2 linked regions of the Neodiprion lecontei genome follow. The protein of the gene in region 1 purifies or fractionates together with the protein of each later gene. This does not show direct contact. Links are inferred from orthologs where the notes say so. Each region holds a gene or a part of one and is shown in the gene's direction. Other genes may lie near its edges.

Region 1 (6,289 bases):
AGACAGCATCAATAGCTTTGGAGTGCCAACTGCTCCTGCGCAGAGTATGACCCCCTTTGTGGCGAAGGCTTTTAGCTGAGTACCCAGTTTCTCAAATTCAACTCCAACGGCTTTCTTTTCTTTCAATAAAACCTTTAGGAATGAAATTTAAATGATTACATGCGATATCGATGATTAGGATGTTGACATTGAGCAAAATGGCTATCAACTGTTCAAAGATACTTTTTAGTTTGATGTAAATGGTGTCTCATCACCTTATTAACATGAGCATTAGCGATGACAGTTAATTTTTCAATATCCCTGTGTAACAATCTGTCGGTACTCCATCTCTCTCCATCCTTTGAGGTCAATTCCACTTTCATGAATCCTGATTTAAAGATGAAGAAAAAAAAAAGCAACCAGTAAGTAGAATAAGCACCATTTTCTTTTCTGTTTTCTTTAGTATTCAACGGTTCTAACCAATGTTTAGATCTCTGTTTATATTTCCAACGTTTTGTCCCAGTTCTGCAGCTCCGTTCAATATAGCGTCCGACAAATCAGTATACCAATTATCACAATGTACATTCAAAGAACTGGTTTCTTTGTCTACGGACTCTGCGGTGATTGAAAAGTTCATCAGGATTATTTAATTATTTTTCACGTAAAATAAAGTCACAGTGATAAGTTTTTACCCTCAAGATCGGGGCACCAATTAGTGTAATCAGCGATGTGACCACGAACGTAAGCCATATAATTTAGTCTACCCGATCCTCCTAAGATTTTTCCCATCGGCCACTTGCTTTGCTGTAATATAATTCCATGTATCCAATATTTAATTAACAAATATTCTGACAATTCTGAACACGATATTTAAGAATCGAATGATATATAACAAGTAAACCAAGTGTCAGAATAAAGTATTCCGAGGAGAAGAGGAGAAAGAATCAATTGACCACGACTGAAGGAAGAGTACATTATTGATTAGTCCTTTGCAAGCATGTTTTTGTGGAACGGTCACATGCTGCCAGTCAAAGACAGACTGTTGCAATAACGGAGTTAGTACAGGGATATTCAAGAATGGAGGAACTGCACCACCTGCTTCCAATAGCAAAGTTTTCTCCCCAGCTTTGGACAATCTGGCAGCTATTACAGACCCAGCACTGCCAGCACCGACTGAAATGTTTAAAGAATCGTTGGAATAATGCATATGGCAAAAGAACTCGAGCTCTGGGAGGACGGATAATCAAATTGTGATAAATAAAAGAGGAGATATTCTGTGTAAACTAAGAAACTAAATAAATGTTTTCAGAATTCCTTTCTGATTGAAACAGCAGAAAGAAAGAACTTACCGATAACATAATCATAGAGTTTTGAATTCTCCATATCATTGTAGGACCAGTTGAAGTATTTATCATAAATATCTGCAAATTTGAGATAATTTACAAAAAAAAATATCAAAATTCCGTAAATAATAAAAACGGAGTACTTGAGTATGAAAATCATTTCGAAAAAACAAGTGTCAAAACAGTTCAATGCTCTCTCGCCATAAACTGTAAATATATGTTATAATTGGCTCCAATCTTTGCACGCATGTCCTAAAAACTGTCACCGTGAGTGAAATTTTTAAAAGTAAATTTGCATCGCATCATTTAAGGTGCTTAATAAAACTGTATAAAACAATGTGAACTAATCATCGATATTCGACGGATTTGGATGAAGCGCAAAATTTCAAGTTAAATTAGGCATAGGTCGGAATGTAAATTTGGAGGTTAGATTATGTTATGTTAGGTTAGGTTAGGTTAATTACACGTAGAATGAAACTCAAGTTCAGAGGTTAGGTTATGTTAGGTTATGTTTCGCTGATGCGTGAAACGTCAACGAAGCCAATATGTCGAACATACCGTAACTTGGTATTTTCGAAAGCTAAATTATACCGTTTTCAGCCAAAGTTCGAGCTATGATACGTGATAATAATTGGGATAAGAATCATGGATCCAATCAAGGTCAAAGTCATACAAGAATTCAACGCCGAATTGGGTTCGGATTTAAAAAACCTTGGAAAAATTCCTCAACTACACGAGCGGTTACAACACGAGAGAAATAACATCGAAAAATCGGTGAGTCAAAATTGAGTATCTTACTTCAATATTCATTCACGAAATCATTCAAAAAATAATCATTCAACAGAAAATGCTACATATTTAATTATATCTGATTAATATTCTCATTTATTTTTTTGCCATGTGTAAGCTGTCGCTGGCATCAACGGAGGCTCCGTCAAAGGTTAAAGCAGCTATAGAAGGAGTTGATAAGATAAACAATGAAATAGAAGAATTGGTAAAAATCAGCAATGATTTGGAACAAGTTCTCATTGAACAGCTTCAGCAGGATTCCAAAATTGATGGGATTCGAGAAAATGTTGATAAAATAGAAGAGCTACAAAGAGCGTTGTCGTACTTGTACTTGGTCAAATCCATCGAGGATATATGGTACAAAACAATACTTTAGCTTTAACACTCTGACTCGATGAGAAAATACTCGACGTTCGATAAACTAATACAACTTTTCCAAATTCTTGTACTTTATACAGTCGACTAACTGAAAAAATCATTGATTTTACAGTGATGAAATAGAGGGTTCTCTATTAGCAAAGGATGACAAGCTGACGATAACTCTGTACGCTAACTTGACGGAAAGAAATTCACAATTACAATCGTCCACTTGTCATCATCTTGTAACTTATCTACACGACACTCTCCACTTTTGGCATAATTATCTCAAAGATAAATTTACAGCGTAAGTACAGGCGAGCTATTGTTTGAATAAACAGCACGAATACCTATTATTATTAAATGTTTACCTTGGTCAAAAAAATCGAGGCAAAATCATCATCGATTATTCGATCAAGGTAACACAGCTCCCTGGTATTTACTTTTCTACAATCCTTGAAATTTTACAGAGAATACAACGAAATTCTGAAGGCACTGAAATGGCCATTTTGTGGCAGCAATTTGAATTTGTCGACTACTCCTTCGCTAGATGCAATGGCAAGGTTCAGCACAGTTACGGAATACTTGCTGCAACTGCAGCTACCGTATCCTTTGCATCAAGAATTAATTGATGTAGCTCGAAATCATGTAACTTCCCTATGAACTCTGAAATTGATCCTTAACTCAGATTGACGGATAGAGAAGAAACAGCGAAACCTGCGGTTACCTCGTCGCTTCTAACCGATTTTATACCAGTGAGCTTGCCAATCTTACTGCTGATTCGTCCCCTTAGACGTAGATTCATATACCATTTCACAGGTGCAAAACAAACTAACCGTTTGGACAAACCTGAGTGGTTTTTCACTCAGATACTTACATGGATCAGAGATCACACCGAATGGGTGAGGATGAATGTTCAACCAATCGCAAATTCTTTGGGACTTGATCACATCAATGCTAAGGTATTTAGAAGTTCGCTTCAAATGTGTTTAAATAACAAAACAAAGGCTAGATTCTCGTGAGAAAAAAAACTCACAGTTAATTTTCTCTTTGTTCCATTTTCATAAATAATTTATCCAGGTCGAATTCATGCGAGGGCTGGTCCAACTTGCTGTGGAAAAGTTATATTCCGAATTACCCAACATGCAGTACGACGATGCTCTCTTCGCACATCTAATCGACGAGGCTCTAGGCTTTGAAAGAGAGTTAAGAGACACGTTGTTATATCCAGCTAGTCAACCAGCCACCGTTTTTGTACTAACTCAAGCACAGATTTTTGTCAAATGGGTTAATATGGAGAAGAAATGTAAGCATTTCTCTAGCGACAATGAGCAATATTTTTCTACTCTTAGACGTTTTTATATTCCATGGAGTATGTAAAACGAATTCTTAATGTACTATTATTTGAATCAGGGTAACTTTCGTGTAAACGAATCGACTTGCAAGATGTCTAAAGTGTGTTAAAAATTAAATATTACGTATATTGTGACTTGAATATTATATTGCAGATGCAACGGAAAAAATGGACGCTATTTTGAGCTCTGAGACCGCATGGGAAAGATTAATGGGTACAGATATAGACGACATGAAAGTAACGGAGTGTGCGGAAGCTTTTCTCACTCTTCTAATGACTATCACTGATAGATATAGTCATCTGCCACAACCTGGTCACAGGTGAGTCATAAATATCAACTTTCTTGCTTTGTTACATCCTCCTTAACAATCCATCAATTTTTTCACCCAATAGGTTACAATTTCTCGAACTACAGCTAGAACTGGTGGACGATTGGCGTGTTCGATTGCTGCAATTGCTGCACGAGGATTATGAAGATCCGCTGACTTCTATCATGCCTCGAATTTTGAATACACTGCACTATGTATCTAGTGTTCTCAAAGAATGGGGTGCCACTGTTGTAAGTGAAGAAGTGAAAAGCAACAAGCGGTGCAAGAACAGACAAGTAAAATACCTTGAGTTTTGTTTTTCTGTTCTCAGCACTTCTTGCAGCTTCACTATTTCAAAAAACAATCAGATGTAACAGAATTGTCTGTAGAGAAATTGGCTGAAACTTCTGAAAATCCTGGGGACGAAGATGATTCTGTATTCGACGAAGCTCTCGCATTACTACAAAGGTTGGAACGCGAGTTGGTGAACGAAATAAGCAACTCTGTGGCACTGGATGTGAAAGCTAAAAGCAGACCGTACAGAACTGACAAGTAATATCAAATACATCAACTTGCAACAATAAAAGTTTTTGACCCTGAATATCTAATCCTAGTTACTGATTGTAGATGGTTTGCAATGCAATCAGAAAAAGAATTGGCGTCGTTATCCGTAACCCCGAGTGGTTGTCCCATGTTTCAAGAGCTGGCTGCTCGTCTTAACACACTTCAAGACATTCTTGCACTACCGTTGTTTAACAAGACTTGGAAGAATCTTGCGGCGCAACTCGATCAAGTAGGTTACAAACCTAGCTTATTATGCTACATTGTGCACGATTTTTCTATAAGATGACAAAATTGATTAACGTAATCGACATTTTCTTTCTTCAGTATTTGCTAGAGGAGATTGCTGTGGTCAATCAATTCAACTCTGGGGGAGCTGCTCAATTACAATATGATATTGTCAGAAATCTCCTTCCGCTCTTTGGTTTGTATACAAACAAGCCAGAAGCTTACTTTCCGCTGTAAGTATACTCAAACCATCAATAGTTATGTCCGGAAACCAAAACAGTAGATTGTAGTAATGATGTACGTGCTAACGACCCGAATAGCCTAATAATCTTAATCCCCATGAAATACTGAAAGTGCGAGCTACATAGTCTGTAATCGCCAAGGTAGAGATTCTTATTTTGAAACTTATTCTTAACTTGAACTTTTTTCAAACATCAATCTTTGATCTATTAATCTATTATTTGCGCTAGTATTATTCTGTGATTGTATTAATTTATGAATATTGCACAGGATCAAGGAGGCCACGATTCTTTTAAACATGGCTTTAGGTTCAGCGATGCTCTTGTTAGAAGCATTGGAGGGTAACGAAGATACAGCTGAAGTACTAGCGGATGTTGGAATTTATAAAATGACAGAAGACATAGCAATAACAGTACTACGAAACAGAACTGATATAAGTTCGCAATAACTAACGAAATGGAGAAAATAAATTTTCCACTGTAAATAGATAAAGAAAAATAAGCTTAGCCTAGATATTCTCACACCTTGGGTATACAATAATATAATTGCGATTTAACTTGAAAATTTTTCTTTTATATATGAATATTAAACATTAAAAAAATAAAACAAGTTCTGCGTAGATACATTTTTTTTTCTTTCTATTATTAAATAATACAATTATCCATAAGTAAACGTATTCAAACAATAGTACGACTTCGGACCACACGACAATCAAGCTTTCTCTCTGTCATTCGAATAGCAAGTCGTATGCCGCAAATTTAATCAATATGTTCGCAAGATTCCAAATCAAAAACGACTCTCACGCATATGGAATCAACTAATAGTAAAATTGCACTCTAATATCTAAAATATAGAGTAATGCAATTTTTTTTGCGAATTCATAATACATTGTCTTGATTTTAAACTAAATATTTGCAGTCTTTTCTAAACTATCAGAACACTTCATACCATCAATAAAAAGGCAGAGAATAATTTTGGCATGTGGTGTTTTTTAAGTACGAACAATTGTGTAAACAAATTTTTAGCAGATAAGTTTCGTCAGTCACAGTCAACCACATCACTCTTTTTTCCCTTGTAGCAGCGTAATTTTTTAAAATAACTAGGAAACGCTGGATCATCCCGTTGTCTTT
Region 2 (6,363 bases), on another chromosome or scaffold:
TTTTCAAAGATACGGTATTTAAGAAATCATTATACGTTAAACAAAACTCTATTTATCCAATCAATGAAATATTTTGCCAAATTTTATGCTTTTTGTGATATATAGAACTGGATATAATGGATAATTTTTTTTTTTTTTTTTTATAGACCGAAATTTTGTCGCTACAACGGGAAATTTTTCTTTATGGATTATCTCGATGCCCACATTGGACTGAAATGATTTTGTAATTATTCACCAACTATCACTTAACGTCATAATATATTTCTGTATAATACAAATACAGTATTGCTAGATAGAAGTAGCTAATGCGGTAGAGAGACAGGAAATTGTCTTGTAACCGGCATAATATAATATTTGGGAAGCTAAAGTACAAGTTACGGGTAAAGAAGAACTTCCAACACTGCATCTGTTTTATTTCTGTAATACATAGTTGCATTTGAATGACTTATAATTTAACTCTGTTATGTACATGTATGTTCCATTCCTGTACGATTTGGAGCGAATGCTACCGTTTCATATTGCTCCTTGGTAGGGAAGTCCCAGTCTGCACGTTATAAGTTATATTTATTGTTATTATTTGTAGTGAAATAATTATTGAAATGGCATCGTTAAATATGCAACTTGACATATATTATACTATATACGCAATCTTATTTCTATTTCTCAGTTCTATTAATTATGTTAACTAGAGTGTATTATTTTAATATTTATACGTTTATCATACAGAATGGTATGACGAACCTGCTCAATTTCAGCATTCGTATGATGTTATGTAACCAGGTGCCACTTTTACGTATTATATATAAAAAAAAATGCTTGCCTTCGAAACCAGTTTCATTTTCATCAAAATTAAAACCCTTACACGAGTTCTGGGGTAAACTGTATCAGCTTTATGGAGGGACAGATTCTCGTTCGATTAAATACGCGTATTGCTCGATTCCAGCTATCTCTTAGTTTTTCTCATTGGAAAAATAACCGCCGAAAACAAACAAGCTTGAGTCCGCTTTCAGTAAGTATAAACCGATTACGGTGAAAAATATTATATCGTTCTTATATTCTAAGAAGATATTTTTTCGGGCTTTTCTCTACGATAAAATGCGGTTTATGATACAGACTTATGTATCATGCGTCCATATAATAGATGTGATGCACGAGTGGAAGTATTATTTATTAATAATTTTGTCGTACGTGCAGTGCAGGGGACACTTTCTTGCTGCGGAATAAAATGCGTGACCGATTTAACTCTACCTTCTAAAATTGGGCGGTATTAAAATTGGCTAAAACGAGCGGTATGAACTACCGGCGAACAATTTTCATGATCAATTCAGAACTTCAACGTCAGAGAATGATAAATTAGCAACAGGAAGTATTAGATTGACATGAAATAGCGTTAGACTAAGACCGAAAAATATTGTATAGAAGTCAACACCGCATTTTTCTTACGTTGTTCGCATTTATGGGTCACGTAACATTAACTACATGATGTAAGCTGATTACCCAATACTTTTACGGGACAAGCGTAAGAAACCAAAAAAATGTTGGAAGAAAATACGGTATCATGAAAATTCGATTGATTTTTACCGTCGTATCCAGAGAGGAACTACTCTTTGTATGGTGCTTACTTCATTGCTACGAAAAGACGATAAATCTATGCAGGTGAAACCAAGCAAAGTTACATCATGCCTTTAACTTTTTATGATAGCGTGCTGAAAATGAAAGCAAATGATAGTGATCATGAATTTGACTAGGATCAATAATTAATTAGGATTCGACGGAATGAATTTCAAACTTGGCGAATCCTATGAACGCAATGACTGCAGACGTTACATTAAAATTATCGAGAGGGCGCTAGTTCCCGAGACATTTTATCGTGAATCTAACAAGTGTCGGTATTGCAGAATTCTTGACGCGTTAATGGGTAAGCAAATAGTTTTCGTTAGTCAAATTTTTCCCAGATGGCACTGCAGGCAGGAGTGACATGTAACGCCAATGCTAACTCATCGGAACTAGAAGAGCAAAGTTGTATTCTGCTAGCTCGAAATTTATGTAGCACCGTTTTTGTTTTTGTCAGTGTAACACAACCTCAAACGTTGAAAATCTCTAGGATATAGAGAGGTGGTGTGAAGAGTTCCGTACTTGTGCCGGTTCTTAAAATCTTATAATCATCGGGGCTTATGAATTTTTCCGGTAAATCTGCTGAGAAATTTCCGGATATCTGTCACCTGGTAACGAGTGAATTAATTTTTTGAGTCATTCGCCGTACATAATTTACATGATGAATTCTGAGGAACATTTGCTGGACTTGGTGCGACAGGAAATTGTCAATAACAATCTACAAGTGAAAGCTATTATTCAGGTAACTCCATCAGCGTTGAAAAAATTTTACTTGAATTATATGCGAAAATGGTGGAATACGAATTTTGAAGAGCTGGTGGCCGTACTGGTACTTTAAAAAACGGAGAATTTGACGGGTAGGGTAGCACATGTCACAGAACAAGTTTGACTCGTAGACTTGATCGGTACAGAAGTTTCCTATCATTACCGATTTGATCAGCATTGTAATTTCCATTGATAATTCCATGGACGAGTCGGTTATTTTCCACCAAAAACGATAATTGCGAAAGTTATGCGCAATTTAGTTCCATTTCTTTGATACATGTCTACCGATATTGTGTACTTGAGTAAGGATGATTTCTCACCGTACCCTTTTCCAACTTGTTGAAATTGCTTTAACTTTTCTTCAAATGGACAACAAAAATAAGCTGTCGAATTATTTTCCCTCGACTACTAAAATATAAAATGTAAAAAATTTATGCAACTTCTGCATTATGACCAATGCAGATGCAAATTGTTAAAGAGTTGAATAACCGATCAAAATCAATTTTATGTTTTCAAGGAAGGGCTATAACGTATGATATTACATTAATTTGAAGTATTCAAACTAAGATTGGCAAATTTCGACGCCCATTACTTCTCATAGATACATTTGCAGGATGGGCGACCCTCCCCCCCCCCCCCCCCCCCTTAAATTTTTTATTAATATACCGGCCCGTACATCTTACCATACATACATACATACACGTTAACCCGCGTTATCAGGACTGTGCGATTCATCAATTAATTGTAAACTTCGATTATTATCATTTTCTCCATTAATCACTTAATATGCTCTTTCAATTAATTGCTTTATTGATTAATCGTTTCCAGCTTAATCGAATTCTATCCTTATTAAATTATCTATCTAATTAATAATATATTTTGCATGAAACTAATTCAACGTAGTTGATTTAACTATTCATATGTATCCAATCGCAACTACCTGATTTCAGGATATTCAAAATTGCACCGAATCGACAGAGTTATTGAACGAGCTAAATGCAAAAGGCAGAGCAAAAATAGCGGCCCTGCGATCAAGTATTGAGCGTTTGGAGAGCTTAGCGTTCCAAGAACGCAGCGATAAACGGAAATTGGAGATTTATTCAGAAATAGAGAGTCATAAAAGTCAGTTGACTATTACCTTAGCCGCCTTTCGAAACGCTAATGTTGTCAGTGCCTGTGTTATCGACAGAATGGCTAAGGATGAATTATTGGGGATGCCCGACGGACATCAGAGTGCATTACGAAAACGGCGAGATAAACAAGCACTGATAAATATGTCAGGCGGCGTTACCGACAAGTTGTTAGGCATCTCTAGGCATCTGGCGGAAACCACTCAAAAAAGCGCTTACACCTTAGACACCCTAAGTACGTACTTTATACCTTATATTTCACCCCTTATTCTCTGATATACGTTAGTTTTATCACAGGATTCAGTCAGCTTGACAAAAATTTGTAATTAAAAACTTATAACCAACATTTTTTTACCAATATTTTGGATGAGACTCGCAAGGTAAACTAGGTATTCTATACATATATATATATACAATATGTGTATATATATATACACACACGTTAAAATTACTCTGTAATCAGCGCAACATTATTATTTTATTACTGGCATCATTATTTCTTTATAACAATTTCGTAATTGCGTTCGTTGTTCATCAAAAAGATGTTCTGCAATTAAATAATATTTTCAAAAAGCCAATATGTGATCTGAAATTCAAATACAAGAAGCCAATCTAGAAATGGTTTATTGTTGCATTCATTTTCCGTAAGAAATAATTCAGTGCGTATTTTTATTGCATAATCTGATATACATATACAGAGTATTTCCAAGTAAACGGCGGAGTATGTTGAGTTGCTTGTCGCTGAGGGGAACAAATATCGGTACGAGTCATCGGTAGGTAGCACGTTTAAAGTCCTCGCGAGTGAGCTGGAACTGCCCATATTGCCAAGTTGTGTGGATTTGGCCAAGCAGTTGTTCCGTGGTTTGTAACCTATGCCGAAGCGGTCAGTGATCGCCTTCCGAAGCCACGTTAAAGTGATTATATGACTTGATTTGACTAAAGTGATAGCGAGTCGGCAGGTCTGTTTTACCGATATTCGTTCCCCTCGGTAGTAGGCAACCCAACATACTGCACCGTTTACTTGAAAACACCCTGTATATCTGAATAAAATAAGTATTTACTAGATTACCAGACGATGAATAACTTCAACAATGTAATAAATACAATGTATTGAGGAAATCTAAAGTTTCAGCCGACGCTTCAAGCTTTACCGTATCGTCGATCGATACAAAGACCGTTGTATTCAATTTTCCACTTTTGGACTATTATTTGCTCCGTTCCCATCTTTAGAGAACCTTTACGATAGAAAATAGATTGAATTTGCGGTGTAGGAGGTTGACAATTTATTTATTTTCGCAACGGAAACAGTATTCATCAGAAAAATCAACGCAAATAATTTTTGCGTAACGTTAACGTAACGAAATAGTGAAATATGAAAAATTATATTTTGCTTGTTAAAAATTATCTTGTCCCTGTAAGAGGTCGTAGTTGTAAACTGATACGTTTATCTTTAAATTTATGTTATTTATAGTATTGGCCGTATTTTTAATCATTGTAAACTTGCGAAATAAGGATTTTTCGAAAATATTTTTTTGTACTAACGTTACGAACTCGAACCTGTAAAATCACATTTATGTAGGTAAAACGTATAGTGTGGAAATTACTGGTATTTACACATTAGCGTATTAATTACACATTGTCATGTATTTCCTTGCAGTTACGTCGTCGGAGAAAGTGACCGGGACGAAAGATGAGCTTGAACATCAGCAGCAGGTAATTGTGCAGTCTGGAAAGCTCCTGGGAAAATACGGTCGGCGCGAACTTACCGATAAAGCGTTGCTAGTTCTAGCATTTGCATTTTTCTTAGCCTGCGTATTTTACATTCTTCAGAAACGATTGCTCTGATTACACAGCAGAGAAATGCAATAAAGCTCATTGGTTTTTACTTGTAACTGAAACTATATACACCCGGCCTTCTGTAATCCGTGCTCAGAGAACTGAAAAAACTGTATCATTCGAAGCGCTGAATAGTTTTGTGTACAGCTTGTACATTTTCGGGCAAATGTTTTTATCACCGAAACTGACGTAAGTTCGCGATGAGTGCTGTGGTTGTAGGAAAATTGCATATTACGAGTTTGGCGTTGAAGTACTTTAATCAACCAGTTTTACAATCATACTTCAATATTAAAAATAATATTGAAAACGTTTCATAGAATAAAAATTCTGTCACTGAACATTCCAATGCAATTTGCACGTTAACGGAGAAACGTATAATGTACGTGACAGTGCACTGTGGTTAATGTTACAGCATCAATTCTAGTATATTATGTATCTAATATTTATACGTGCAGTATCCAGGTTGTAAACCCGGTGTTAAGTGAATAAATATATTTTATAGCAATCTGCAAACGAGAATCGAGTACATTATTGCATATTAAACAAACGTCTCATCGATGATGTTACCAAAGATCGTCGAAGACCGTCAGCTGCGTGCATATACTTTGGTCCTGAAACGATTATACACGTGAGATAATTGAGTTCGATATAAATGTCGGTGATCCATGGATAGATAATAATACGAGTTTGTTTTTGATTTTGATGGAAAGTTACTGCAACTCTGCTTGTAATAACGTACATTCATACATGACGTCATAAACTCCTCCCGAGATATCACGCCATCCTTGTTCAGATCCATTTTCTCAAAAAGTCTATCAACGTGTCTGTTCACCGCGCGTTGTATAGTTTGACTTGTTCGCACCATCTCGTAAATCGCCGATACTATGAACAACATTTCGTGCCTCGTTATGTGACCATCGCCGTTCATGTCGTACAATCTGTAACGTAAAAAAAATGAACCAACATCGGATCGCAATACCAGTCGTTAAAGAGTCACGCTTAAGCACCCAGCACGTGG

What was found.
Region 2: the proteins of RAD50-interacting protein 1 (region 1) and vesicle transport protein SEC20 purify together in Homo sapiens (co-immunoprecipitation; 3 studies listed by BioGRID and IntAct, counting the BioPlex papers as one, with this or other methods). This does not show direct contact. The link is inferred for Neodiprion lecontei from reciprocal best matches to the Homo sapiens genes RINT1 and BNIP1.

What each region holds. Positions count from the first base shown.
Region 1 is NC_060264.1:28,622,728-28,629,016, reverse strand, and holds RAD50-interacting protein 1, read left to right. Parts: upstream 1-1,603; 5' UTR 1,604-1,747; intron 1,748-1,830; exon of another isoform or gene 1,831-1,922; 5' UTR 1,923-1,967; coding exon 1,968-2,096; intron 2,097-2,229; coding exon 2,230-2,468; intron 2,469-2,601; coding exon 2,602-2,775; intron 2,776-2,938; coding exon 2,939-3,073; intron 3,074-3,168; coding exon 3,169-3,430; intron 3,431-3,548; coding exon 3,549-3,774; intron 3,775-3,976; coding exon 3,977-4,142; intron 4,143-4,215; coding exon 4,216-4,381; intron 4,382-4,461; coding exon 4,462-4,682; intron 4,683-4,757; coding exon 4,758-4,923; intron 4,924-5,018; coding exon 5,019-5,152; intron 5,153-5,429; coding exon 5,430-5,607; 3' UTR 5,608-5,778; downstream 5,779-6,289. Other genes in the region: glucose dehydrogenase [FAD, quinone]-like, read right to left, coding at 1-132, 255-367, 460-594, 672-783, 953-1,152, 1,329-1,400. UniProt on the Homo sapiens protein: Involved in regulation of membrane traffic between the Golgi and the endoplasmic reticulum (ER); the function is proposed to depend on its association in the NRZ complex which is believed to play a role in SNARE assembly at the ER.
Region 2 is NC_060260.1:13,380,337-13,386,699, reverse strand, and holds vesicle transport protein SEC20, read left to right. Parts: upstream 1-2,009; 5' UTR 2,010-2,272; coding exon 2,273-2,356; intron 2,357-3,329; coding exon 3,330-3,744; intron 3,745-5,166; coding exon 5,167-5,354; 3' UTR 5,355-5,858; downstream 5,859-6,363. Other genes in the region: Kv channel-interacting protein 4, read right to left, coding at 5,909-5,956, 6,085-6,283. UniProt on the Homo sapiens protein: As part of a SNARE complex may be involved in endoplasmic reticulum membranes fusion and be required for the maintenance of endoplasmic reticulum organization. Also plays a role in apoptosis.